4 linked regions of the Rhinolophus ferrumequinum genome follow. The protein of the gene in region 1 interacts with the protein of each later gene in a pairwise test. Links are inferred from orthologs where the notes say so. Each region holds a gene or a part of one and is shown in the gene's direction. Other genes may lie near its edges. The genes, in order: VIM; SIRT6; NOD2; fatty acid-binding protein, adipocyte.

What was found.
Region 2: the proteins of VIM (region 1) and SIRT6 interact in a two-hybrid assay, tested with the Homo sapiens proteins (2 studies listed by BioGRID and IntAct). The link is inferred for Rhinolophus ferrumequinum from reciprocal best matches to the Homo sapiens genes VIM and SIRT6.
Region 3: the proteins of VIM (region 1) and NOD2 interact in binary tests that used the Homo sapiens proteins (3 or more experiments, as listed by UniProt). The link is inferred for Rhinolophus ferrumequinum from reciprocal best matches to the Homo sapiens genes VIM and NOD2.
Region 4: the proteins of VIM (region 1) and fatty acid-binding protein, adipocyte interact in a two-hybrid assay, tested with the Homo sapiens proteins (2 studies listed by BioGRID and IntAct). The link is inferred for Rhinolophus ferrumequinum from reciprocal best matches to the Homo sapiens genes VIM and FABP4.

Annotation. Positions count from the first base shown.
Region 1 is NW_022680355.1:3,291,822-3,298,851, forward strand, and holds the start of VIM (vimentin), read left to right. Parts: upstream 1-4,017; 5' UTR 4,018-4,154; coding exon 4,155-4,717; intron 4,718-5,383; coding exon 5,384-5,444; intron 5,445-7,030. UniProt on the Homo sapiens protein: Vimentins are class-III intermediate filaments found in various non-epithelial cells, especially mesenchymal cells. Vimentin is attached to the nucleus, endoplasmic reticulum, and mitochondria, either laterally or terminally.
Region 2 is NC_046301.1:59,431,387-59,438,465, forward strand, and holds the start of SIRT6 (NAD-dependent protein deacylase sirtuin-6), read left to right. Parts: upstream 1-4,068; 5' UTR 4,069-4,120; coding exon 4,121-4,186; intron 4,187-5,117; exon of another isoform or gene 5,118-5,123; coding exon of another isoform or gene 5,124-5,138; intron 5,139-5,875; coding exon 5,876-6,003; intron 6,004-7,079. Other genes in the region: ANKRD24 (ankyrin repeat domain-containing protein 24), read right to left, coding at 875-910. UniProt on the Homo sapiens protein: NAD-dependent protein deacetylase, deacylase and mono-ADP-ribosyltransferase that plays an essential role in DNA damage repair, telomere maintenance, metabolic homeostasis, inflammation, tumorigenesis and aging.
Region 3 is NC_046298.1:5,222,422-5,229,714, forward strand, and holds the start of NOD2 (nucleotide-binding oligomerization domain-containing protein 2), read left to right. Parts: upstream 1-4,291; 5' UTR 4,292-4,380; intron 4,381-7,186; 5' UTR 7,187-7,293. UniProt on the Homo sapiens protein: Pattern recognition receptor (PRR) that detects bacterial peptidoglycan fragments and other danger signals and plays an important role in gastrointestinal immunity.
Region 4 is NC_046297.1:4,231,777-4,239,738, forward strand, and holds the start of fatty acid-binding protein, adipocyte, read left to right. Parts: upstream 1-4,951; 5' UTR 4,952-5,035; coding exon 5,036-5,108; intron 5,109-7,859; coding exon 7,860-7,962.

The DNA of each region.
Region 1 (7,030 bases):
CTGAATAACATAAAACATTTCTTAATATCTGCCAGACTCCTCTGGGAATCTGCTCCTGCACAACATAATTGATAATTATCCTGTCTTTTCTCTTTTCAGTTCCTAGAACACAGTCGGGCCCTAAATAATATTTGTGAATTGAACTGGTTGACAGTAAGCAAAATCATCATGGCAAAGAGAAAAGAAAAAATGCATTTGGACTCAGTCCAAATTCTTGCTCCCTTCCTCTCTCCTACTAGTTAAAGACCGTGAGCAAATTGTTAGCCTGCATTTTAGACACTTCATGTATGCAATGGATGATCAACTCTATCTCACAGGATGTTGTGAGAGCATTAAATTAAGTCCATGCAAAGTTCAGGTCATCCAGTGGGCACAGAAAACAGGCATTTATCATAGTATTGTTATCTTTGCTTCCATACCTTTTAGGTTTGCCATGCTTTTCACCATCTCACTTAATCCACTTGCTCATTTCTAACATTCCATCCAGGCGATCCTGCTAGAAGCTGTCCTCTTGGCACGGCTACCTGCCAGCCAGCTCTCCTAAAGCTCCCACAGGCCACTGAGCTCCTCTCCTCATGGCTGGCTGGTCCGTCAGTTCTCATCACCCAATGCAACTGAAATTACTACAGCTGGCAAATTCCAAAATCACTGTCAGTACTTTAGATTTGGTGATGTTTACACCTGGCCTACAAATTGCACCTTTGTGTCCTTATTTATACACAACCTGCATCATGCAGTGTTTGAAGCAGCTTCACAGTCCAGCATTTAAAGCTACTCTGAGATAGGTATTTCACAGCAATCATAAGTAAATATGAAAACTGAAAAAGCTATGTCTATATCCTGCTTGCTTCCAAAAAGTAAGCAGGATGAGTTAATCATATTCAAGGATGTTACTTCAAACATACTGATTTCCCTCAGCGATGACTGTCATCCACTGGTCGGGGCATTGCGCTAGATAGACATTGTATAATTTACTTCCCAATGCATTTACTTCTTTCCAAAGTCTCATGCATTCTATATAAATGAGTAAAAGTGTTTTTGTAACCTTCACTTTTCTACACTCTATAGTCCACCCCAAGCTATGGCAATTTCTAATAGGAAGCACACACCAGAGACTGTGTGTGTGTGTGTGTGTGTGTGTACACGCACACACTCGCTGTATGGCCAGTGCAATGGGCTGAATGTTTGTACTCTACCCCGAAATTCCTATGTTAGAACCCTAATCTCCAAAGTGATGGTATTTGGAGGTGGGGCCTTTGAGAGGTGATGAGGTTTTAGATGTGCAGTTTAGAGTAAAGCCCCATGACGGGATTAGTGCCCTTATAAGAAAAGGGAGAGGCCAGTGTTTGCTTCCCCTGCACTTCATGTGAGGACACAGCAAGAAGGCAGCTGTCTGCAAACCAGGAAGCAGGTCCTCATCAGACACCAAATCTGTGGGCACCTTGATCTTGGACTTCCTGCCTCCAGAAGTGTGAGAAAGAAATGTGTATTCTGTGTGCCACGCCATCTGTGGTATTTTGTCATAGCAGCCTGAGCTGTGACAGCAAGTGAATACATCACAGTCCTGAAAAATCAGATTGGAGAAGGGATACCCCTGAGATGGTGAGGAGGTCCAGAGTCCATCCCAGAGGAAGTCACCACAGCCCTGAGGAATCTGCTGTGGTCACCAGCAGGGCACTGGCCACGCTGCACCAGAGCCTTGCCCTCATTTTCCATGGTGAGTCAGTCAGCAAGCGTCCCCTGATAGCAAGCGTCACCACTGCATTGCCCTGGGATCAGCATTTTAGGTGGGAGGAAGGTCCACCCTCTTTCCCCCCATATTGAGAGGACTTTTTCTCATTCTAAGGGTTCCAGGCAAACTCACAATGGTGACATTTCCTGACCAGTGGCTTAAATAAAGGGCTCTCAGAGAGCAAGATGATAACGTGGAGCATAAGCTGGTTTGCGAGGGCACTGAGCCCCAGGAATGCTCCTTGGGAGGGATACACAGCCTCCCAGTGTCAGAGAGAATAAAGGAAACCCACAGCAGGGGAGCTGTGTAGCAAAGGGTCCTGCAGCTCAACTCTGGCAGTGCACTAGGGCAGAAGTAACTGAAATGAGGTAAACAAAATATTGCCTGAAAGACGCTTGTACAAAGAAGCTAGAATAAAACCTTCAGTTGGTTCTACACTATTTTTCTTAAATGCTAGGTAACCTGCAGTACCCCTCTGCAAAAAAGAAAAAAAAATACAAGAGCCAGAAGGAGGGTTTTACTTATTCCCCCCCCCCCACCTCACCTATTCACTATAGAATCAAGATGCTTCTGTTTTTACAGAGGTTTTGGAATTAATCCTTTCAGTACTCCCTAAATTTTCTATGCACTCAAAAACAAACAAACAAACAAAAAACCCTGATTTTTTACATTGCTACTTAATTCAAAAAGACTGGCTCGCCTTCACTCTCTTCATCTCCCTTTAGAGGTAACTTTGTTCTGCATGTTTCTAATATTGCAACAATAGCCCTTGAGTGATTTACCTAGAAAGGTTTTGGTCATGGACTCTGAACACTCCCTTGGTGCTCTGGACTAAACGCTTTTTGTTCTGTAGACAGTTTTCTCTGCCCAAATTCTTCTGGAAAACAGGCCGAAAGAACCTGTGGCATTTCCCAGACACGTCACCAGAATCCTGCAGTGTGCACAGCTAAATGAACACATAAATCGATCCTCCCCCCAAACATTATGACCTTTGAGTCACATAATTGCTTTTCATTAATCAAATTGGAGTTTTAAAGCAACACTTAATTAATTCTATAATTGGCGCAGATTATACCTTTAATGACTTCCACTGTAGCACAAAAACCAGTGATCACTGAATTTGATTTTGAAACTACGGACGCTGAGTTTCCTCTTTCACCCAGAAGTTTCAGATCTTGTTCAAAGTTGGGTGTGGTTTCGTGGGGGGGGAGTGGGGGAGGCCGAGAGGAGACCCGAGGGGAGAGTGGGAAGAAACTTGGCAAGAAAAAACCCGTGTTTGGGCGGCTATCCAGGGTCTGCATATGTTTCTTGCTAAGAAGTCCGCACATTGGAGCAAAATCAGGCTTTGGCGAGTTCTTAAGAACTCCGAGGCGCTGTAGTCTCCCCTACCAGAGAACTACACACAAGAATGCGGCGGCCCGCCTCGAAGTTGGGTAAAACTTGGAAAACCAGTGCGCGCGGGGCCCGGGGAGACCTGAGTCAATCCCGTCTAACGGTTCCCGCAAACCGCTAGGAGCCCTCAACCTAGGCAGGCAGAGAGCACAGTGACTCACTGCCAGTGACTCAACGACCCCACCCCACTCCCTGGGGTCGCCGCCTCGAAGCTCACGCGGTCCAAAGCCGGACCAAGCCCGTCACGTCCCTGAACAGGAACCCTAAGGCGAAAGGGTAAAAAGAGATGCGGGCCAGAGCGATCCCTTTCCAAGCCCAACACGCGAGGCGGCACCGGGGCCCGAGCCCTGCGTCCTGGGCTGTGCGCCCCCCACCTCGCGCTCCAATCTCAGGCGCTCTTTGTTTCTGTTACCACGCCTTCCAATCTGCTGGATCCCTTACTCCCCCTCTTCCTACTCCTTTGCCGGTGCGTCTCCGCACCCACCCGCTCCCCGACCGCTCTTGTAGCCACCCGCCCCTCCCAATTGCGCGCCTCCTCCCACGCCTCTTTGGCGAGGTGCCCGGGACCCCTTTGATCCAGTCTTGGGTGCGTTCCCCCACCAACGTGCGACCCCGCCTTTTTCAGCACCCAGGGGTGAGCAGAGCTCAGGCCATCATCAGGAAAGCCCCCAAAAGTCCCTGCCCAGCCAAGAAGTAACGGGACCATGCTCAGTCGCGAGAGCCGAGGAGCAGGGAGGAGGAAGACTCCAAAGTGCCCACGCCCCAACCCCCTCCCACCCTTCCCGCTACTCGCCGGGTCCCCATTGGCTGGCGAACTCCGGATGGAGGTGGGAGGGGACCCTTTACCATCAACGTTATAAAAACTGCGCCCTCGGCGGGGTCCCGTCCTCTGCCACTCTCGCTCCAGGGTCTCCGCGCCAGAGACGCAGCAGCGTTCCCACCGCCCACACCCACCGCGCCCTTGCTCGCCTCTGCCCGGAGCCAGTCCGCGCCGCCACAGCCACCCAGCCCATTGCCACCCTCCGCAGCCATGTCCACCAGGTCCATGTCCTCGTCCTCCTACCGCAGGATGTTCGGCGGCCCCGGCACCGCCAGCCGGCCGAGCTCCAGCCGGAGCTACGTGACCTCGTCCACCCGCAGCTACAGTCTGGGCAGCGCTCTGCGCCCCAGCACCAGCCGCAGCGTCTACGCCTCGGCCCCCGGCGGTATGTACGCTACGCGCTCCTCGGCGGTCCGCCTGCGGAGCGGTGTCCCGGGCTTGCGGCTGCTGCAGGACTCGGTGGACTTCTCGCTGGCCGACGCCATCAACACCGAGTTCAAGAACACCCGCACGAACGAGAAGGTGGAGTTGCAGGAGCTGAATGACCGCTTCGCCAACTACATCGACAAGGTGCGCTTCCTGGAGCAACAGAACAAGATCCTGCTGGCCGAGCTCGAGCAGCTCAAGGGCCAGGGCAAGTCGCGACTGGGGGACCTCTACGAGGAGGAGATGCGGGAGCTGCGCCGGCAGGTGGACCAGCTCACCAACGACAAGGCCCGCGTCGAGGTGGAGCGCGACAACCTGGCCGAGGACGTTATGCGGCTCCGGGAGAAGTAAGGCGACGCCCACGCGGGGCCGCGGGAGGGAGGGAGAGGGGTTCGCGCCCCCCCCCAAGAGGAGCTGCCACGCCCTTGGGGATGTAACCGGGGCGGCGGCAGCGGGGGGTGGGGGGGGGAGGGGGGATAGCAGCGAAGCGGGGATGTGGCTGCGATGGCTCAGCCCGGCCCGGAACCCAGACTTTGCAGTTCCCCTCTACACCCACTCATTGCTTAAGAACGCCCGTTTCAGGTTGCATTTTTTTTTGAAAGTGCCAGTTGTTAGTTGAAGGCCCTTGCAAACGATGAGCGCAGTTCGTTCAAACTCTTAGAAAGTTTCCTGGCCCCTTCTGGCGGACTGCCAGCCCTGAGGCGGGGGTGGGGGGGGGTAGAAACTGTGCCGGAAGCTAGACAAAGGGGTTGCAGAGGCTTCTCGGGGACGGGGTGACGGCGTTCGCCTTGCAGGTAGGTCCCTGCGACCACCGTGATTGCTTTTCTACTCTGCGACCCAAGTCCCGCTAAAACTTGTCGAGGGTGACAGTTCCGAAAGCTGCAGTCGCTGGGTGCCCGCGGAGGTGGCGCAGCAACTATTGTCTCGCTGCACAGCGACTTGGTGGTTGGGTGTGGCCGCCCCGCCCCTGGCGGTTTCCCAGTTCCCCTCTGGTTAATGTGCAACTGTTTCAGATTGCAGGAGGAGATGCTTCAGAGAGAGGATGCCGAGGGAACCCTGCAGTCTTTCAGACAGGTTTGTAGATCCTCTTCCCATTCGCAGCCACTGGACCCCACCCAACCAACCCAAGCCACGCGCAATTCTAAAAGTTACCCCAAGTCTAAGAGTGCAAAACTTCACGTCTGTGCGCAAAGCCCCCTAGTGGCAAAAAGACCCCAGATTGGAGCTTCCTCGATAAAATCCCTAGGATGATTGTTCTTAAGGACAGAGTCTTTAACTTTTTACTTTGTTTCCAGATTTTTTCCAAAGAAATATTTTTTCCGTTTATTTCTTGCAACACATTGATAATCTGATTTACAACAGTTACAGTTTGAGTGAGATTGCTGTTTGTGAAGTCAAGTTGGCTAACTTTTTACAAAGCCACAAAAAGCGCAATTCTGCCCTGTAGTTAAAAATGTAAAACGTGTTGGAGGATAAGAAAGTTAGCTTAACTGGAACGAAGCCAGCAAGGTTTTCTCCTTTGCAAATTCTATTGTGGCATTAAAATTAGATGGAAGTATCGCTATGCACAACTATTTTGTGGTCTAATAAGTGTGAAAAGGAGCCATCTGTCCTCTGGCTGAAAGGTATTAATGGTTTCTCTGGGCTTCACTATGGAATGTAGATACAGACTCTGGCTAGTGTGATGGCTCTGGACAGAAATAATAGGAGTCTTTGTGTTCCCAGAGAAGCTTTGCAACAGGCTACATTCTTATTGAATATGTAATGATGTAAGCACAATTCTAATTGGACACAAGTATTTGCTAACATCCGTTATCTAATATCTGGCCCAGACTTGTGAAGTATGTGATGTGAAAAGTTCTTAAAGCTACAATCATGCCTCACATTTGGAAAGGTCTTAATACTTTTTAACTTCTCTCCATAAATAAAGAATAACCCCAAGGCTGAAAAATGGAATTTTAATTAAAGGGGTTTTTTGTGTTGTTTTTTTGTTTGTTTTTGCTCCAAAGTTAGATGGATTTAAAGGATTTTTTTAAACTTAAAGTTGGAATTCAAAAGCAGGAAGAGTTCCCAGCATAGCTGAATAACAATTTGAAGCAGAAATACATTTGCCAAAATAATTTAAACACAGCAATGTGTGGTCATTTTAGTCATTGGGCATTTATGATCATCATATTTGTAATGTTTTTCAGGGTAGTGAGTTAACATAAAACAGTATTAGTATAAAAGATCTGTTTAGGGATTAAGTAACATTCCTCATATTCTCTTCAATGAAGTAGAATGTCACATTATACTTTTTAAAATAGAGGCTAGCAAGTTATTTCTTACATCTTTTTTTTAGGGCTTACTAACAAGCAAAAATGAATTTTTCCAAAGCCTCATTATTTTTAAATCATCACCCATTCCTCAGTTACATTCCCATAAAGGTAGAAGAAGTATCAACATTTTAAGACGATAAGGCTATAAAACTATACTCCAAAGATAACCGCTTACAAGATCAGAGGTATAAAAATCCTTATGATATTCCCTTGAGGGGAAATAAAATCTGAGTTGTAACACAGTGGGAACTCAGAAGGAGAGCCAAAGTAGCAAGAATTCTACATATACAGTAGTTTCATTATATGCAAAAGTTTTGATCAGTCATTCTGAAACTAAGTAAC
Region 2 (7,079 bases), on another chromosome or scaffold:
TATAGCTGCAAGGGAAGCCAGCTCGATCCCACCTCAGGGCCTTCGCACTGGCTGTTCCCTACCCCTGGAATTCAACTCCTTCAAATAAGCACACGAAGCCCTCTCTCTTTCCCTTACGATCTTTGCTCTAAGATCAGCTTCCTGGCGAGGACTTTGCTGACAAGCCGCTTTGAAATCGCAATGCTCTCCCCTGCCCTGGACACTCCAATTTCCTTTCTTTGCTTTCTTTGCTCCATGACACAAAATATGCCTTTCTCTCATCGATCTTGTTTAGCGTCCACCTCCCCCACCAGGCTTTCAGCTCTAGAGGGCAAAGATTTCTGTCTGCCCTATTCATTGATGTCTGTTCTGTGCCTAGAACAGTGCCTGATACAAATGTGTGCTGAATAAATAGACAAAAGCAAGAGATCAGAGTCCCCCAAAAAGTGAGTCCTCAGAAATGCAAGTGGTCACTGTAGTTGGGGAGAGCAGAGATCTTCTGGAAGAAGCGTTATTGGAGCCAACTTGGTAGGGACGGGGAGGGTATGACAGGCAGCAATATGGGGAGAGGGCATTCCAGGTAGAGGGAGCAGCCTGGGAAAAGGTATGGTGGCCAGAAAGCTTGAACAGGAAGCAGTGGGGACATCGGGGCAGCAGGGGGCAGTAGAGAGAAAGGGAAGGAGAGGTGGCCAGAGGCTAAAGGGGTAAACTTGAACCTTTGAGTGGTGAGGAACCATGGAAGAGTGTTGAGCAGAGAGGGTCATGTGGAAGCTGCTAAAAGAATCTGATGGGTGGGGGAAAACAGCCCACAAGGCCTGTGGATCTTCATTCAGGCCCTGGAGGACAGGAACCTGAGGTTGCGGGACATCAGGCATCTCAGTGGCCTCACACTCACCTCTGTCTTCTTAAATCGTGCCCGGAGAGTCTTCATGGCCAGTGTCTGGTGTTTCTCTGCAACCCAGGCCACCTGGGAAAGGGCAGGGGGTGAGGGACATCAGTGCTGGTGAGCCAGAGGGTCGGCTACCTCCCCCTCCTCAAAAGAACCACTTCCCCCTCACTGGGCCATCCCAGCACCTACAGCAGGACAGAGACCTACCTGCTGCATCTCCTAATTGCTGTGTGCCCTTCAGCAGGTCACTTGCCCTCTCTAAGTTTCACATCCCTCATCCTTAAAATGAGGAAGGTAATCCCCTCTTGACCATCTCGTGGTCAGTTTTCCATGAGGTCCCTACCACAGGCCCAGCTAACAGGTCCTCAATAATTCACTTCACTAGTATTCCCTGTGGCCCAAGCAGATCAAGCATTTTCTCGTCTCCAAGCTTTCATCTGTGCAGTTATTTCTACCTAGAAATTTCTACCTGCCTTTCTTTTTTCCTTCTCTGGTGAACTCCTATTCATCCTACACAGCCTAGTTCCAAAACCCCGTGCTCTGATCAACTTTGCCTCTCACCAGCAGGCAGAGCTCTAACCCCCCAAATTGGGTTCCCCCAGCCCTGGCTGGGTCCCTTTTCCTGCCCCAGCCATGGCTCCACAAGCTCAAGGTGTCTGAGCTGGTTCAATCTTTCTGAATACTTAGGGGCTCCTTGGGGCCAAGCCCAGAGCGGAGGCTCTTAGCACAGAGGTATGTTTCTTGGATCGTCAGAGAGAACGTCCTTGCAGCTACATCCCTTACACCAGCCTGACTTCTGTGTGAGTGAGAGACTAGACACAAGTCACCCAAGGCAGGCGGAGGTCTGGGGTGATAAATGTGTGCATGCACGTGCACACACACAAGCATGAGGTGTGTGTGTGCATGCACATCTATGCACCTTGGCCTGTTCTGTGTTCCATGCACATGTGGGTATGGAGATCAGGCAGGGATGTCTTGAAGGGATGTGTTGCTAGGTGTGTGGGTAGGGATTCTTTCCTGTGTCTGAACAGGATTTCACCTGTCCACCTGCCCGTGACTTCTCCAAGCCATCCTTCCTTCTTTCTACCTACCGATCTACTCATTTGTACATCCACCTCCCTATCCAAGCACTTGTATACCCACCCACCAACTCACCTGCCCAACTCATTTTTCTCATGGTCCTTCATGCACCCTTCAACTATGCTTCAGTCACCACCCACCATCCACCCACCATCCACCTATCCATCCATCCATCCGCCCCCTAACCACCCACCATCCACCTATCCATCCATCCATCCACCCCCCTAACCACCCACCTATCTACCTGCCCATCAATCCATCCACCTACACATCCACCTATGTGCTCACCCACATATCTAACACCCACCCACTCATCTATTCCCTCATCCATCCTCATCCACCCTCCACTGACTTATCGACTTACCATCCATCCACCTTCCCGTCCGTCCACCTATCCATCCATCCATCCACTCTATCACCCAGTCATCCATCTACTGCCCATCCATTCATTCACCCTTTAATTCACTCCATTCACTCAATGTACTGCTTTGCTCACCACCTTTCCCACCTGTCTTTGCCCCTGTCTAAAGGACTCAATCACACCCAGAGCAGAGTGTAATAAGACACCCAAGAGAGGAGTCCACAGGTTGCCTGGGCAGGAGGGAATCTGTGAGCTTGGGGGAGGGGGAAGTGCCCTCAGCTAGGGAGCTGCTTCCTGGAAGAGGTGATGCTATAGAAGCAGGGCCTGAAGGCCGGCAGGATACTGAGCAGCAGCAGGAAAACAGGGTCCATACCCTAGACAAGGCCAAGGCTGGGAAGCGGGAGGTGCGTGCACGAACCACTGTGTGTGTGTGTCAGGGCGCCTAAGAGGCTCCTCAGCGTGGCTGGGACACACACGGGCTTCTCCTTGCTCCCACATATCAGGGCTCAGGGACAAGGAGCCTCAGACCCTAAGGGGAGCCCCCGGCCCAGGCTTCCCTCCCTTCCTTCCTCTCCTACCTCCTGCAGCTCCAGTGACTCCAGCACCAGGCCACCGTGTTCACTGCTGGCTCCGGTTACCTGCTCCCAGCTGGGCCACCAGCTCGTACCAGCAGCTCTGTGCGCTCAGCTCCGACACCCGATCACCTCTGAGCGGGCAGCTGCCCCAGGGGGCCGGGGATGAGCCGAGGGAGGAGACAGGTTGGCAGCGGGGCTGCCTGTTGGCCAACCGGCTCTGGCGGGAAGACACCGATGTTCTTCCCTATCGTCACCGGACTGATTTCAGTTTCTGGAATGAGCCACCGTCTTTCTCTCCTCTCAGCCTTTACACTTGCTGTTCCCTCTGCCAGGAACACTTTTTCTGTACCCCATGTCACCCCCAACTTGCTCATTCTCCCCATCTCACTGCTACTCACTCTTCAGATCTTTGCTACACCCTCTCCTCCAGAAATCCTTTCCGAATTGCCCCCGGCTGGGTCAGGTGCCTCCTTTGAGCTCCCGCATTTCCCCGGCGCCCTCACTGCTCCCCAATCACACTAAGTCACGACAGCCCAGTCACTGGGTTGTGTCCCTAATTAGCCACAAGGTGCCACCTTTGTTTTCCAGTGCCTCCTCAGCACACAGTAGGTATTCAACACGTGTTTCCTAAATGAGTCCTGAAGGCCACCAGCCCCAATGACCTTGCGCAGTTTCTCTAGTCTCTTGGTGGTCTGGACCTGTCCTACTGAGTGGAGATTACCATCCACCTGAAAAATATTCAAATAACTTAGAGTGTTGGCCAAGACCTCCCCTAATGAGGCCCCACGTTGCTCCGTGCCACAGGTATCCTGAACTTTATAACTTATCTTGTAACTTTACAAATGTCTGAAAGGTGCAACGGAAAGAACCTAGGACTGGGTCCCTTCTCTCTGATTCTACCCTCATGCAGGAGTGGAAGTGGAGCATCACTTTACTAATTTGTAAAAAGGGAAAATGGATTGTGTTCCTCCTTTTAGAGGCGACTGCAGAACTCTCACGCGCACAGCTGCCCCAGCTTCTCGGCCGGGTCACAGCCCCCTCCGTCTCACGCGAACTCGCAGAAGTAAGGCGGCTTCTTTAACCAGCAATTAAGATGGCGCCTGCGGCGTCAACGTGAGGCGCATGCGCCTTGGTGGGAGCGAGCCGGCGACTCCTAGTTCCTCCCCGTGCAGCCCTATTTCCGGCGGAAGTGGCCTCAACAAGGGAAACTTTATTGTTCCCGTTGGAGCGGTGAGAATGTCGGTGAATTACGCAGCGGGGTTGTCGCCGTACGCGGACAAGGGCAAGTGCGGCCTCCCCGAGGTGAGCGCGGCGGGAGGACCGGAAAGCCTCCCCCTCTAGGGTGGTGGACCGGGCGGGGCCGGGCGGCAGCGGGGCATTGTGGGAATATCAGGAGGCACTGAGGCTAGACAATGGGAGGGACTTCCCAGTGAGGAGGGGGCGGGAAGTGACGCCCCCAGCATACTCGGGGACGCGAAGACGCCCAGCTCCGGGTCCACGAGGCTTGCACAGAGGGAAGGACCGTCGTGAGGAAGTCCTGAAGTTCCGATAGGGGAGGAGGGGATGTAGTTCTAGGCGGAGGGGGCCCTGCAGGGGCAAAGGCAGGGAGATAGGTGGGAATAAACACACTTGGGGGAACAGATTAGGCCAGAGAGGTTTCCAGAGTCCCGGTCAGGACCGGCCCCAAATGCCAGCCTGGGAGATTGACACTTTATCCTGAGGGTGATGGAAACAGGTTTTGAGCTGGGAAGGAACCTGGATGGATGTAAATATGTGTCAGAAAGACCCCTCCAGCTACTCCGAGAGGAAGTCCCCTCCATACACTGAGACTTGGGGCTTGTCACTTCCCTTCTGCGCCTCCTCTCCCCTTCTGTAAGCTGGGGGAAGGTTGCCCCCATCCCTTGAAAGCTAGTCCGTTCGTCCTGAGTCGGGAAGTTGAGGAGTTCTCAGATGGTGTGAAACCTCCTGAAAAGGCACTCCTCTCTTGCCTGTATTCACATTATTCCACAAACATTTACTGAGCACCTGCTGTACCACCAGGCACTTTCTAGATCCTGGGACCACAGCAGGAAACAAAATAGGCAAAAACCCCTCATTCCAGTGGGGAGACAGACAGCAGCAAATAAATATAAGTGAGATGGGAGCTACGGAGAAAAGTAAAGCTGGCAGTGGTGAGGAGAATTGGGGGCTGCATTGAAACCAGGTGGCCAGGGACACATCACTGAGATGGCATTTTTCAATGTTTTCTATTGTGGTAAAATACATCTTTCATAAAATTTAACTTCGTAACCATTTTTAAGTGTACATTCAGTGGTATCAAGTATATTAATAAGGGTGTGCAACCATCCCCACCATCCAGAACTTTCTCATCTTCCCAAACTGAAACTCTGTCCCATTTAAACTTTAATTCTCTCTTCGCCAGCCCCTGGCACCCACCATTCTACTTTCCGCCTTTATGGATCTGACTACTCTAGGGACCTCATATAAGTGGAATCACACAATATTTGTCCTTTTGTGTCTGGCTTATTTCACTCAGCACAATGTTCTAAGGTTCATCCACATTGTAGCAGGTGTCAGAATTTCCTTCCTTCTAAAGTGAATAATTTCCCAACGTATGGATGGACCACGTTGTGTTTATCCATCCATTGATTGATTTGGGTTGCTTCCATGTTTTAGCCATTGTAAATAGTGCTGCTCTGAACCTGGGTGTACAAATGAGGTGACTTTTGAGCCACGACCTAAAGGAGGTGAGCGGAGGGAGTCTGAGGAAAGAGTGTTTTAGGCAGCAGGCTGCAGGGAGGATTTGGGCTTTTACCCGGAGAAAGGTAGGAGCCCTGGAGGGCTGTGGGCAGAGGAGGGACATGACAATAAGCCTCCTTTTCAGATCCACTCTCCTCCCGTGGGCAAGGTGGGGGCAGCTCTTCTGTGGCCAGTGGCCTTGCCACTAAGGGACACGTTTTGACCGCTCCCCTCTGCTCTCTCACACCACAGATCTTTGACCCCCCCGAGGAGCTGGAGCGGAAGGTGTGGGAGCTGGCAAAGCTGGTGTGGCAGTCCTCCAACGTGGTGGTCCACACGGGTGCCGGCATCAGCACTGCCGCGGGCATCCCCGACTTCAGGTCTGTGGGTGTGGAGGGAAAGTTGAAGCAGGACCTGTTAACTTCCAAGGGCTTCCCTGTGAGCCACAGTTGCCCGGGCCTCAGAACACATCCTGCTGCCTTCCCCTCAGTGAATCTTGAATAGTCTTTCCTCCCCTGGGTGTTGGGGATAGGAAAGACCCCTCCCTTTTAGACTTGTTCCTTTAAGTCTCAGCCAACATCCCACTCACTCCATTGGCCAAAACTTGGTCACCTGATCATACCTAGCTACAAGGGATGCTGGCAAATGTAGTTTTCATCTAGGCACACTGTGAATGTCTAAATATTGGGGTACTATTACTCTAGAAGATGGGGAGAATCAATATCAGGGGCAATTAGCCCCATACTCACTTGAAAATATTTTTCTATCAGACCTGGTGGCTTAATCCTCTGAACGTGTTTCCTCGCCCATAAATGAGGGTATGAAACCAGTTAATGTCTAAACCCCTCTCTGCTTCAGGCAACCTGTGTAACAAGAGTCTTACAGCTGAAAAGCAGGGGTTTCAAACAGTTGGCCCCTGGGTGGCCCCTGCAGGTGCTGAGTTTGCAACCCTGCCGCAAAGGACAGACCTGTTGCATTTATACTCTCTTTCCAAGGCCTCTTGGGCCCCCAGCCCAGGCTCCCACAGAAAGAGAGCAGATTCTTTAGAGGAATGTTAGAATTCTAAGGCTTGATTCTCCCACCCCTCCTCCATAACCTGCCAGGGCTCCCCATTGCCACACAGGAGAGTTCCAAGCCTTACCTGACCCAGCCCTGGGTCATCTCTCCAACCTCAGCCCCTCTTGCCCCTGCTGCAGCCCCCGTACCACTTGCATTTCCCCAACTGACAGGCTATTGCTAGCCTCCCAGACTTTTGCTTACCGCTCGTGCCTGAACTTCTGTGCCCTTCCCTCTCACAGTTCAAGAGACAGCTCAGCCTCCCAGGAAGCTTTCCCACAGACCCTACACGGAGCCCTCACTGCCTCCACTGGGCCATCCCAGCCCACAGGGCGGAAGGGTCTGTGTCCCCCTGTCTCCCCTGGCAAGAGAAGCACTCCTGGAGGGAGGGCCTGGGTCC
Region 3 (7,293 bases), on another chromosome or scaffold:
AACGGGTGTGCAGTGGTACCTCGTCATGGTTTTCAGTTGCGTTTCCCTCACGACTAGTGATGCTGAGTGTCTTGTCGTGGGCTTGTTGCCATCTTTATATCCTCATTGGTGAGGTGTCTGTTCAAGTCCAGTGCTCCTTATTTGACTGGATTATTTTCTTAACGGTCTGTCGGTGTTCTTTATGTATTCTTGGGGTATATGTACCTCTCAGTCTCCTTTTCCATCTTGTGGTTTGCATTTCTACTTTCTTAATGGAGTATTTTGATGAATAGAAGCTGCCAGCTTCAAAGTATTCAACCATCTCAATGTTGTCTTTCACAGCCAGCGTCACACCTCCAGGTCCTAGGGATTTCTCCTTTATTGTTTTTTTAGCGTTACTTCTGCAACTTCACGCAGGCCATGGTGAGGCTTAAGACGAGGTAAGATGGGCAGAGCGCTTGGAGCGATGCTGGCAGACAGCAAGCACTGTACAAGTGCTGGCAATTCTGATTAATTAAAAGCCTTTCAGTTTGCTTGTCTCATCTGGGGCTGTCATGCACTGCAAGTAGGTCATTGTACATGGTGTGAGGTAGGGGTGCAAAGCTTTATCCCCCCCATGTTTACCTCCTGGTCTTCTTTATTGGAATGGCCGTCCGCTGCTGTGCAGTGTGCCATCACTGTTACAGACAGAACATCCACACACGTCAGGGTCTGTTTAGCTCAAGGGGGTGGGGGGCCCTGAAGCGTGCTGCTGGCCTGCTAGCCGGTGAGCCCCTTGAGTCCAAGGGCCTTGTCTCATTCTTCTGTGGCTGTGCTGCCCTGCAGGTGGCCTGGTGTAGTGAGGGGACATGGGCTCTGTGTGGAGCGAGGCTGGAACGCTGTCTCCCCTCCTTTCTTTGGGGCTCGCCCTGCAGCTTTCCAATTTTCTCCCTCACTCTCTGCCTGGGCCTGGAACCTTCCAGATGCCAGGGGCAGACACAGAGCCCTTTTTGGCAGCCCTCAGAACTTCTGACCCAGCCACCAGCCACCATCGGGGAGAGCGTGTGGAAGCCGCTGCTTCCTGTTCTGGGGCAAGGGACGCTCTTTGGAAAGCCCCGGACACACACGGGTGTCTGGCCTGAGAAGGAAGAACCCAGCTGGAGCAGAGTGACGGGAAGAGGCCATGTTTACGCACCTGCCCACTGCTGGCTTTTCTCTTTAGCACAGAGCTCTAGTAGGACAGGCAAGGCCTCACTGTCATTGTGGGGGGACATAGGAGTGGGCAGCCCCCCACTGTAGTGCTGGAACCACTGTAGATGGTGAAGAGGGGCCACCAAGGCGTCCTGGCGAGACAGGAAAGGAAATGCTGGCATCTCGGAGTGTCGGTGTCTCTTCTGGAATTCAAATGGCCTGGACCCTGCGGTGGCATCTCACTGCATTTGGAGCAAAGTCAGAGCCCCACCTGAGGCTCCCTGGTCTGCTGCTGGCTCCCCTCCTACCTTGTTTGGCACCCCTTCCGGCATCACTTACGCACAGCAGCCATCCAGGCTGCTTTCTGTCCTTAGACGTGCCTCACAGGCTTTGCCCTCGCAGTTCCTTCAGCCAGCAATGCCCTTCCCATGGTTCCTTCCACGGCTGACTTTTCTCATCCCCAGGGTGCAGTTTGGTTGTCTGACTCTTGAATGGCCTTCCCCGACCCGCTCTGTCAAGTCCTATCCTTGTTGTGTTTGTTTACTTGTTTATTGCAGTTCTCAAAACCGTGACGGCAGAGACTTTGTCTGTGTCAGCACTCTGCCCCCAGCACCTACTGCAGCCGTATGGTGGGTGCTCATTCATTGCTGTGTGAATGAACGAATGAATGAGTGAGTGAGTGGGGCATGCAGAGAGTGGTGATGGGGGCTGTGGCTCCAGCTCAGCCCTGACGCACTGTGTGTCCTAGACAGGCCACCACCCCTCTCTGAATTTCAATTTCCCTAACTGTAACATGAGATAAAACTAAGGATCCCCCTCACGCCATTGGGCAAGTAACCAAACCCCATGAACTACCACTGACTACTGCTCCGGGCCTCGGACGGGCTTAGGACTCCAAAACCAACACGCTATTTTTGGTCAGTTTGACAAGAATTAATCACTCACAGGTGTGCCTCCACAACGGTGCAAAGAAAACCCAAACCGGTGAGGTGTTTGTAGGAGACACAAAATCCAGCCAAGTCCATCTTACTTTTCTACCATTGAGAGTCCACACACAAGCCTTTTAAAAGTCTCAAAGGTTCTTCTACCATATGGTCCAGCAATTCCACTTCTAGGTATTTATCTAAAGAAAACGAAAACACTAACTTGAAAAGATATCATGTTCTTTTGGGTGAGAGACTGACACCAAAGACAATAAATAAGTAAATATCTAGTATGTTGTGTGCAGATAAGTGTTACGGAGAAAAATAATTAAGCAGGGAGAGGGGTGCAGGGGAGGGGGTTGCAATTAGACAGGGAATGGTCAGGGAAGGCCTCCTTGAGAAAGTCACATTTCAGCAAAGACCTGAAAGGAGGGAAGGAGGGAGCCATGGAGGTGTCTAGAGGAAGAGCATTCCAGGCAGAGGGAACAGCAGATGCAAAGGCCCAGAGGTGGTGGCAGGTCTGCCCTACTCCAGGAGCAGCCAGGAGGCCAGTGGGCTCGAGCAGACAGTGCACAACGGAGCGAGTGAGGACGGGCCCCGAGAGGGTGCTGCGTGGAAATAGCAATCGAAAGGATTTTCCTTGGCTTTGGCTCTGAGGTGGGAGTCATCGCAGGGGTTTCAGCAGAGGAGTGACCCATAATTTGACCCTTTTTTACGCAGACTCACTATGGCTGCTGCTGGAATCCTGGAGGACGGCTAGGAGCTCTTGCCAGAACCCAGGTGAGAGATGATGGAGAACGGGACCCAGGTAGTCATGGTGCATCTAGTAAGAAGTGGCTGCGTTCCACGTGTATTTTGAAGATCAAGCTGGAAAACTTACTCCCAGGTTGGATGTGAGGTATGAGAGAGAAGATGAGTGGGCTACGTTTTCCAGTGGCCCTGGCAGTTTTCTTAAGTAACCCGTGATTGTGCATTGAGAAGGTTTCCAGCTTTTCACTGTTATAAAGAAGAGGTGGTGAGCATGCCTGTGGACAGATCTGTACCCCACGTGGAATGATTTCCCTGGGCTAGTTGCAGTCCTTCTAACACAGCATTTCCCAACCCCAGCCCACTGCGTACTACTTGTGTAGGTAATTAGCTGGAGGCAGTGTGGGATGGTGGTTAGAGTATTGCCAGATGCCGGGGGGCAGATCGTGGCACTGGGGTCACTACTCGGACCGATTAACTTTTCTGTGCCTCGGTTTCTTTATCTATACATTGGGGACGATGACAGTCAATATCCCGGAGATTGGATTCACTGAGTTAATGTATGTAAAGCCTGGTCCATAGTAAGCACTATGTGAATGTCCGTTCTTTAAATTGACTTCACATTTAAAAACTACCAAGTGCAAGTGTTTTAAAAGGCACATTGATATTAATACCTTCAATGGAAGGTGTCACTTGCTCAGAAATCATACAATAAATTTAACCGAATGGAAACAAAACAGTGCTGTTAAATTCTGGTTGGATGTTACTCAGAGCCCTGTAGACTAGGCAGGCAGTGTTAGAGAGGCGTGGGAGCCCTGTTTGTATGAAACTGACGCGGCTCTCCTCAACTTAAACAGAACGATCAAAAGAAAAAGAAAAAAAAGAATTACTTTAAATGCCCGGTCTGCTCTCAGCTGACATGTAACCCATAACATTGCGGAAAAGCAGGGCTCTGGGACATCATAATAATCAGGCTTTAGATGACTTTGGGCTTACTGACCCATCAAAGGGTGTGTGGGTTATTCAGGCACCGAGAGCTTTGCTAGCTTTTCATTTCACAGGATGCCTTATGTGTATGGGTGTGTGTGTGTGTATGTGTGTGTGTGAGAGAGAGAGAGAGAGAGAGAGAGAGAGAGAGAGAGAGGGAGAGAGAGAGAGGGAGAGAGAGAGAGAGAGAGAGAGAAGGAGGGAGAGTTGAGAGTTGGGAGGGAGACTTGTCCTGAGAGACTCTCAACGTTCCCTCCAGTTGAAAGGTGGTCCAGAAAGGGGGATACACTTGGCCTGGGTCACACAGCCAGGGCCTTGCAGTCCTACAGGCAGCCCCGCCACTTCCCTGCCAGCTCTCGCTCCCATCTGAGGAGAGCTCCTAGCCGCCCGGGTGCTGCGGGAGGGCTCGCAGGACAGGAGGGACTTGGCTGGCTGGGCAGGTGGGCGGGGCCGAGAGCGGGGGCGGGATCAGGCGGGGACGGATCCCAGCGTAGGAGCCTCCCAGGCCAGGACTTAGCCGTGAGTTTTGCCTCCGACGAGGGTGCGGAGAAATCCGGGCGCCTGCGGCTCCGAGGTGAGTGCTCCAGGGCCCAGCTCGTGAGACAGCAGGCGCCGAGGAGGGTCCCACCCCCGGGACTCCTGGCTTCGGAGCTGTCCTGGCCGGTGGGCAGAGGGAGAGGCTGCCTCGGTTTTCCCTTGGCGGGGTTTCAGGGATCTAGACGGGAGGTAGACAGAAAGAGGGCATCTCGAAGTTAGGGAGCCCCCTGGAGGGCGGTGACTACAGAAGATGAGAAGGCTTGGGGGCGTTTCTGGGCCCCAGGAGCCTTTGAGGTCTGGAGAGAGGCAGTGATTTTCAGGTGGTGGGGAGTGTGGAGGGAGAGTCAGCAGGATGAGAATCCCCGAGGCACAGGGCTGACCTGGGAATGAGGAGGCCAGGCTTCAGGTCTCAGAGGGGCCTGCTCTCCGTGAGTCCCTTCCTCTCTCCGGGCCTCAGTTTCCCAATCTTACCATGCCTGTGAATAGGTGGGTGCAAGTGAGTAAGTGTCTGGATGACCTCTCACCCTTCCTGCAGCCTGTGACTCTTGGATGGCTCAGCCCCATCCCTACCAGACAGGCCCATACCCTCTGTGCCATTGGCCCTCTCCTTTGCTCCTCATGTTGGGGGCCAGCCAACTGGTCCTACTTGCTTCCCAGCACTAAACCGCCCCCCCCCCCCTGCCCCAGTCCCCTCAGAGAGGGCCTCCCACAGCCGGATCCCTGACTCTGTGTTGGCTCTGGTTTCTCACCCACTTCCTGAGCCCTTGGGCTTCTCCCTGCCATGGCCTTGGTCTCCTCATGGGTTATTCCCTGGCCACAGGGTCCTTATTCCACAGAGGGGAATAACCTGCCATGTCACCCGTCCCCTGATCCCTTGGTGAAGACCAGAGTGACATTTCCATCACCTCTGCTCTCCTGCCTCTAAGTTTGTCGGTCACTCAAGTCCCCTTTGCCAATCTGAGGCTGGAAAGGACCCCATCTCACCCACTACCTCCCACCCAGTGCAGGACCCCTCTGCTGTGTATGCTCAGTGATGCTGAACTTGTTACTTACGAGGTGCTGTTCTGTGGCCTGCAGCTCTCATTTCATCTAGCTAACATCTGTGGCTTGCAGATTCCATCCTTTCGTTCCACTTCTGCCTCCTGGAACCATGCAAAGTAAATTCATTCTTTTATTCATTCAAACACTCTTTATCAATGCACTGGGTGAGACACTGGGGATAGAGCAATAAAAAAAGTCCGGCAAAACTCCCTGCCTTCATGGAGTTCCTATTCTAGAGAGGAGTCAGACAGCAGTCAAATAAGTGAATACATGATACGTCAGGTGGTGAGAAATAAAGCAGGTGAGGAGGATGAGCATAGGCAGGCATGTCCTCTCTGAGACGGCGACAACTAAGCAAGGCCTTGAAGGAGTTTGGGGGTGGAGTTTCGGGAATATCTGGGGGGAAGGACAGTGTACCCACATAGGGACAAGCAGAAGGTCCTCAGGCAGAAGCATGACAGGCAGGAGCAGGTATGTCTTGTTCTAGGAACAAGGAGGGGGACAGTGTGGCTGGAGCAGGGTGGGTGAAGAACCAGTGTGGGACGAGTGGGAAAGAAGTACAGAGAGGTAAGGGCTGGGGGGCGGGGTCCGTTGCCTGGGCCGAGGAGGCCGCTGGGAGAGCTTGGTTTTCACTCTGAGTGCCGAGAGAACCACCGAGAGAGCCACCGGAGGGCTTTGAGCAGAGCTGTCACCTGCTCTGACTTAGGGGTTAGCAGGTTCACCTGGTTGTGGGCGGGACAATAGGCTATAGGGGGTGAGAGCAGAAGGGGGACCCGTGAGGGGACCACAGCTGTCATTCTGGGGAGAGGCCGTGAGAGCTTATACCCAGGGCGTAGAGGTGGTGAAATGTCAGATTTTCAGATTTGGGATATATTTTGAAGACCGTAGGGTGGAGAGGATTAGGGATGCAAGAGAAAGGGGGCGTCAAGGGTGACGCGGGTGGTGGGGTGGAGTCTGGCCTGAGCACCTGGAAGTTTGGAGCTGCCATCGACTGAGATGGGAGCTGTTTACGGGAAGATTTGGTTTGGTGCTTGTTAAGCAGGAGATGCCCGTTAGCACCCATGCGAAGACGGCCAGGACGCAGTTGGGAAAAGTTTAGTAGAGAGGTTGGAGCTGGAAATAAAATTTTGGATGATATCACCACATACCTGGCATTTAAAGCTATAAGAGCTGGTGAGTCCACTTAGGGAGAGAGTGATATGGAGAAAAGAAGTCCAACCAGGGAGCTCCGGGGCTCCCAGCATTAGGAACCAACCAAGGAGTCAGAAAGAGCAGCCAGGGAGATGGGAGGAAAAGTTGGAGAGTTGGGGTGTCCTGGAGGCAATGAGGAAGGTGCTTCAAGGAGGAGGGGGGCAATGAGGACAGATGCCTTTGACAGAGCAAGCAAGCTGAGGGCTGACAGTCAAGCCATGCAGAGGTCACTGGTAACTGTGACAAAAGCAATTGGGGATTAGGGAAGACAGGATTGGCAGGGCGGGGAGGAGAGGCGTTGGGGACAGCAGTACAGACAACAGACAAGGAGTCCTGCGGTGAAGGGGCAGAGAAATGGGATTGGAGCCAGAGGGAAGTGGGTGTGGAGGGAGGGCTTTACTTTTGGGGTGAAGTTACAGTCTGTTTGCGTGCTGGTGGGAAACTCTTTTAGAGAGAAGCTTGGTGAAGGGGGCCAGAATAGAGGATGGCTGCAGGGCTGGGGGGGGGTGGGGGTTGGATCCAGTGCCCCAGGGGAAGCTTGGGCCCAGCCGAGAGCCAGTGCAGTTCAGAAGCTGGGGATCCCAGGGCCTCCCTCCCTCTTCTGTCTGCAGGGGCCCAGCAGGCTGAGATTTCAACTGAAGCCTGAGCATCCGTCAGCTGCCCCAGATTCAGTGCAGTGTGTTCGGGAAGGGCCCTGCTTACTCAAAGCTCATCCTGG
Region 4 (7,962 bases), on another chromosome or scaffold:
TTCAACTTAAAAAATTGTTAGAAAAATACCTCCATTTCCTCCAAAAGAAATAAACACATGCAGAGGTCAGGGGACGCATTCCATGGCGTCTGTCTGCAGTGGAGCAAAGAGCAAGGCGGTGGCCGGGACCCGAGCGAGCCTCTCCCAGGGTTTGGAGCCACGTCTCCATTCTCCACGTTGCCAAAGCAAAGCGAGACTCTAGCCTCTGAAGCCCCCTTCCCCACAGCTCTGGGGAAAGAGGCCGGCCTGCATGTGCATTTTCATGCTGTATTTGACTCCCTGTGACCAAAAGTGTAGTTACCCCTGTGGCAAGATGTACCTTGTTTAGGGGACCAGGTTCCACGTGAAGAAAGGAGCTGTCCATACCCTTCCTATACCGTGGCCTAATTTCTTTCCCGCTTTCCCATCGCTCACAGCCATTCTCTTTGCTCAGCCTCTCACCCTCTCTTAACTCGTGCCTTGTAAAAGAATTGACATCTGCTTGCTCTACCCTTTATCATCCACCATTCCTTGTGGCACTCCATTTTTGTCACACTCGGATTTGTGTTGTGGCAGTGTTCGCGTAAAACTCATACACGAGCATCAAGCATGATTATGTCCCCAAAACCCATATGTCATTCCTTCCGTGAATTAATGCATTAATCCAGTGAAAATTGGGGGAAATGAGGTGCTAAGAATTTTAAGCCATGGATGGGATAAAGTTCAAGATGGAGAACGGAGGTCAGGAGTGACGGGAAATTGGGAGAAAGGTATCTCTTATCCTTCATACATTTTATGTTAATAAAAGATACCAAAAGTGTGAAAAAAAATTAGGAGAGCAGCAAGTGCCCTTGTAGGGGGAAAAAAAAAGGAAATACGTATGTTAAGATGACTGTCAAAATAAAACATGTGAAAAGGCTTTGTATTTTATTCTGGCCCCAAGCTGGTCACTAGACAAGAACTTGCATCATTAAGAAGAGACAGAAATCACACGTTACTTTTTATTATATTCCCTCGCTGCACCTAGCACAGTGCCTTGGACGTACAGTAAGTTTGCAAAAAAGATTTTATGAAGATTATTTGCCAGTGTGAGCTTTCTACAATGAAATTGGGTTTGAAAATGTATGCGCATAATGCCATTTCTACTGGTTTTCAAGAAAGGATGAGCACTAAAGTCTGAATTCTCTTCGTTAATATGTAGGAAGGATATTCTTCAGAATGTTGAAACCAAGGTCGTCTAACATTGAAGTATTTTTTCCTTATTGTGACTTTTCTTATCATGTTCCACCTTATTCGCATACCAGCCCACTGACACTGTGGTGAAAGATGGTTATTTGATGAGGGAACATTCTCTCTTATCCGAGCAGTGGGATGAAGTCTTAGGAATTGAAATGAGGATAATTTATGGAGGATCTAGGCAGTAGCTTGCATTCCCAGTTGGACTGCAAAGCTGATGCATGAAATAAGAGGTGCGGGCCTTTGTGCTGAATTTCTGGACAGCTATTGTCTAGAAAAAATTCTCTCCCTACGTGATACTTAGTGGACTTGTGCACGGAGAAGGCGTGAGCATTTCATAGGATGACCCATGTGTTTGGAACAAAATCGAGCTGCTTCTAACGTCCCTTTGAGTAAGTAACTCTCTGGTTAGCCTATTTTTGTTCCTCCACACAACTGATCACACGACATTTCTTCAAGGGGACTCGACTACCCTTTCATATCATGGTGCTTTCATTGCTATTTATAATAAGTTACCAAGGCCCTTTCCTATTGTCACGGTTATTCTCATTTACCTAAAATCGTTCACACGCCTGTGGTTGTTTGTAGAAAATCTCAACTATGGCATTTCTCCAACAATGATCAGGTAGTAAATATGCTGACATAAAAACAGGAGGCTACTGATCTGCAAACATAGTCTTGCAGAATGTTACAGGGGTGTTGGTAGACCCCCCCCCAACCCACCTAATTAGGATTCCCTCCATGCGTTTTATTGAATACTTGATTACTTGCTATCCATCAGTGAACTATCTAGAGGCAAACCCCTGCCTTAATGGACCTTGGACTCTGCTCAGCAGGAACACACGTTTGTTTACATGTATGTGTGTGTGTATGTATGTATGTATTATGTATGTGTGTATACATACAAGTATGTATGTATTGTGTGTGTGTGTGTGTACATCTGTCATGATTTACTGTTGGAGTCGAGTTTGGGTGAAATTGTTATGAACAGGAAATGAACCGACAACTCCTGCTGTGCCCTGTGTCTGGATACTCTTTTCTGATCCTTCCGGGGCTGTTTTCTTGTCATCACTCAATTATGCACCTCCTTTGACCGACCTTCCTGGACCACCCCATCTAGAATTTTAAACTCAAAAATAGAGTCACGATAAGCCCTAGAAACCTACTACACAGTATGGGGAATATAGAAAACACTATTGTGTTATGATCATCAAACTTTCTAAGAGACTAGAACTTAATTATTCCAACTGCTAAGAAAGGATAATTATATAATAATTATCATCATTGTAGAGGTGCTAATTATTGCTACGGTGGCAATCATATTATAATACATAAATGTATCAAATTAACACGTTGTACCTTAAATTCGTACAATGGTATATGTCAAATATACTTTAATTGAGAAAACCTCAATAATAGGAAAACAAATTCGATCAAAAAATGGGCTTAAAGACCTTCACAGACACCTCACCAAAGAAGATAAAAAGATGGCAAATAAGCACATGAAAAGATGCTCCATATCACATGTCATCAGGGAAATGCAAACTGAAATGACAGTGAGACACCACTGCACACCTGTGAGAATGGCCCAAATCCAGACACTGACACCACCAAATGCCGGGAGCACATGGAGCCACAGGAATTCAGTGCTGGTGGGAATCAAACGGTGCAGCCCCTCTGGAGGACCGTTTGGTGGTTTCTAACAAAACTAAGCATACTCTTACCATATCATGCTCCTCAGTATTCACCCAAAAGAGTTGAAAACCCATGTCCACATGGATGTTTATAGCAGCTCTAGTCATAATCGCCAGAACTTGGACACAATGAAGATGCCCTTTAGTAGGTGACGGATAAACTGTGGTCCATCCAGACAGTGGGATATTATTCAGCACTAAACCTAAATGAGCTGTGAAGCCATGAAAAGACAGGAAAGAACATTAAATGCATGTGACTAAGTGAGAGAAGTCAATCTGAAAAGGCCACACGCTGTATGATTCCAACTCTATGACACTCTGGAAAAGGCACAACTATGGGGACAGTAAAAATAAGTGTTTGCCTGGGTGAGGAGCGGGCGTGTTTGAGAGGTGGGAGGGAGGTGAACAGGCAGAGCACAGAGGTTTTGAGGGCAGTGACACCACTCTGTATGTCACTATAATTATGGATCCATGTCATTATACACAAAATGTCCAAAAACACAGAGCGTACAACACCAAGGGGGAATCCTAGGGTAAGCTATAGACTTTGCGTGACTCTGATGTGTCCATGTAGGTTCGTTCTTGGTAAAAGTACCGTTCTGAGCGACGCTGATAATGAGGGAAGCTGTGCACGTGTGGTTGAGGGGCAGGCGATGAATCGGAAATCTCTGGACCTTCTTCTCAATTTCATTGTAAATCTAAAACCTCTCTCAAAAAATAGCCTTAACAAAACAAAACAAAACAACAAAACAAAAAAGTAAACCATTATTAATTTAGAACGTTGTCAGAGTTATCCCCGTATGAAGATTGGCCATTTTTATTTCCTGTTCAACAGGAAACAGAGGAATTTATCATCGCAAGCCTTCCTGGGGTGGTACATCACCCACAGGTCTTGTATCTGTGCAGCAGACCAGAATGGATGCATGTGTCACTGTGCCATTAACAAATGCAACGATTAAAGATTACTATTGTATCCTCTGCCCCAAACATTCTGGGAAGTTCTGGGTCTGCCAGCCGACGGTACACTCAGCAGATATGGTGCCGTGGGACACACAGCACGCATCCATCCTTCCACGACACTGCCGTTTTTCTTTCCTACAATCTGGGTATGTTCACGGGAGTTTGCACATGGGAACATTTTGATCATTCTGGAATGGAGGGGGTGCGAACCGAAAACCATGGTTTCTTTAGAAAAGTAATCTCAAGAATTATTCACTATGGAAAAGCAGGAAATAAGATTTTGATAGTTTGTGACCGGATCACTTGTGATTGTTTTCAAGTAAAGTGGCCCCTTTTAGTTCTGGATAAATTTAGAGCTCAGAATATAATTTAGGAAATGAATAAATTTTCTCAGTATAAGGAGCATATTTTGGATAGGGTCCTATTTTTTAAGGAGTTTGTGGAAATCAAGTATCTATGCTCTCATCGAGGGTTTGGAAGAGTGAGGTTAAATTATTACTTATCAATGAAATCTACAGTCCGGATGCCTGGTGGATTAATTGAATTTACTTTTCCTTCTTTATTCATGCAAAACATTTTAAATGAGAAACCTGGGGTACTTTAAAATGCCATTAGTTATTTTGTTTTAATTGCCAGGTAATTCCTGAGACAGGGCTGTCCAAAAGAGCCTCTGCAATTACTTAAGGATCTCCAAGATAAGTCATACATTTCTCTGTTTAAAATAACCACAGAACTGTAATTGTAATAGAAAGTCCAGAAAAAGGGATCAAAGTTCGTCTTAAGATAATTATCCTCCTTTACACTGGGGTAAATATGTATGAAAATAATAGGGGGAAATTCACTGCACTGAGTCTCAAACCATCAAAACAGGAATGTTTCAAATATTCTGTTCATAGTTAAAAATAATTTGTCATCTATGTCCAATGACCATTTGCCAGGGAGAACCAAAGTTGAGAGATTTCTATTATAAACATGACTCAGAGGAAAAAATGCAGAGGCTGGAAATGAAGGAAATGGTCTGATGTCATTCCCAATTGGTCATTGCTCAGATCACGTGTTTTGGGCACCTTTAAAAGGCAGTTATTTGGCCTGAAGACGGCAAAGCACCTTTTTGAAAGCTGCAGCTTCTTTCCCACCTTGAAGAATCATCCTAGAGAGCCCACAAAATGTGTGATGCATTTGTAGGTACCTGGAAACTTGTCTCCAGTGAAAACTTTGATGATTACATGAAAGAAGTGGGTAAGAAAATGCTTTGTGGGGAGCTGGATCTATGACTGTTTCTCTGGGGGCAAAAGGGGCTTATAGCTGTTTTTCACACTGGAAGCACCGGCCAGATATGAAATGCTGCTTTCTATACAGAGGTTCTAAAAATAGCAAGTAAGAATCATTTGTTTGTAGAAACTTTCTTGACCAAAGTCACAAGTACAGGTGAATGATTACGAAAAAGGGTCTAAATGGAATTTTTATGGTGTATAGCAATGACAAGATTTTATTGGACTGCTAAACTTGGGTATCTTGGGTTTACTTGGCTCTTTGTCTGCTTTTCTTTCATTCCCTCTTGCATATAAAATATGCAGTATTTATTTCCTAGTATGCAATAATTTCCATTTGAAATGGAAAGCATTATGCTTCTCATCGTTAATGTAAATTTTTTCGGTAAACATATGCCAACTAATTATTTTATTGTCTTAATGTCAATGGATTAAAAATGTGTGGTTGTGGTATGGGAGACAAAAAAAAAATCTTAATTTCAGAGAACTTGTTCCTTAAAGGGCTTAAATACTTCTTTGACTAGAAATTACGTGGGATGCTATAGAATCACTGAGTGATTTAAAAGGAGAATGTTACATATGTGACACACCCCCTCTCTGATAATGGAGGCTTCCAGGGTTTTAGATTCTGCTAACGTTGCTGAATCTAAAATTGTTCCCCAGATAATTACGGGGGAAAAGCAAGGGTGTAGGAAGGCAGATTCTCACTCAGGCACCTTGTACCTTGAAAGCTCCTCTCCTCACAACCCCCATGCATGACCAAGGGGAGCGAATCAGAAAGGAGCTTTTTCACAATATCTTTATTAGGGGATATGATTTAAGCCCTAAATCGCAAGACTTAACTTTCCCCTAAGTCATGTAGCATATTTTTGCTTGTGTGTAACCACTATTTTTCTTGTTTATAGACAAAAGGGAAACCAGGGACCTCAGCACGAGTGAGACCTAACTTTCTAGAATGTCAACTAGTTGTGGTTCTGGGACCGAATGTGTGCTGACATAGAAAGGCCAGGATCTGAGGCGATTTAGCGATTGACTTTCAGAAATGCTTTACACTTTCAATATTGACAGTTAGATTCTTGTACCACTGCATTTTAAAATTCTAAATGACTGAAGATAAGGAAAAACATAAGATGCCTCCTGAAATTAGATGCTGTAATTAATGAACCCTAAGCAGGTATGGCCTTCAGCAGTCAAATAAGGAAGGAATCAAGCAAGTGGAGAATGTGATGTCCAAGGTGGTCCACTCTGGTATCGCACTTGACATTGCATCCATCTCTATGCTGACTCACTCCATGCATCTGATGTTACATTTTGTAACAGAGCCAGGACTTGAAGCTACATATTATCTTCCCACTTGTGGCCACTTCTCAGACAGGGGGCGAAATCAGAGCCTCGGCATCATTTGTTTTGTACAGTGTTTCTCTTCTATATCTATATCTGGTAACTGTAAGTAGCTTTTAGTCAAAAAAGTAGCTTAGATTTATATACGTGTGTTTTTTAAAAAATCCAACACATCTATGACAGTCGTAAATTCTGTAGAACCTATACCTTGAGAGCAAGTTACTGCTGTATATTGTAAATTGTTCACCCCATACCTTTCCAGAGAAAAATATATTCCTCTTCAAGAAAAAGAGGAGTTTGAACTTAGGTGGTTGACAATCAAAGTATTGACTTCTAAACTTACTAAAATGGTGATTTCTTAAGTTTTGAAGTTTTCACAATTGATTCCTAGACCCTTTAACCTTTCCTATAAGTTATTCGGAGTAATATCCCCATTCTAAAATTCTGTGAATGTAAGAAACATTTGCCTTTGCAGAAATTCAACAAAGTCTTCATTTCATCATGGCATAATCTGGAAAAGCCAAGTAAATGAGACTGGGCAGCAAATGCTACAAAAATGTGATTTTTGTACACCTAAACAGATGATTTTTTTTTTACACCGGGTCACTCTATATTGGCCTCCAAATCCTACTGAGAATTCTGTCTTTGACTGTGGATTAGATCACATTTTTTTATTCTAAGAAAAATAAGTTAGGGTGCCCCAAATATTTCGTGAATTGAGTAAAAGGACAGCTGCTGCCCTCATGGTTGAGGTTGGCCACTGAATTTTGAGAGTGCAGTGACTTTTTAAAAAATATGTACCTCCCCGAAGACTTAACCGTTGTCCATATTCTTGTTTAAAATTAACCATGGGTCTCCTGAGGAGCTGCATGTGAGGCCCTGAAGGGGAAATCTAAAGGATGGATCTGCAGCTAGTTGTGCTTTGTGTGTTTCTTTAAATATTGGCCTGCCTTACTTGTCTGCAGGAGCTGTGTGAGTGAGGTGATAAGGAAAACTCACCAGTGGCTTTCCCTTTAACGCACACGCACACCCACCTACACAAACACACATACAACACACAAAAACACACGTACACACATACATACACACAGGTACACACACGTACACACACATACAAACGTACACACGCACACACACGCGCACACACGTGCACACATGTACACACACGTGCACACACGTATACACACGCACACACGCACACACATACACGCATACACACATGCACACACGCACACACGTGCACACACACACGCACACACACATACACACACGTACACACGCGCACACACACGCACACACACACGTGTGTACACCACAGTTCTTCCTGAAAGGTGAGAGAGAACATTGTACATGTGACGCTGTTTTCTCCCCCCCGTAGGCGTGGGCTTTGCCACCCGGAAGGTGGCTGGCATGGCCAAACCAAACATGATCATCACTGTGAACGGAGATGTAATCACCATCAAGTCAGAAAGCACCTTTAA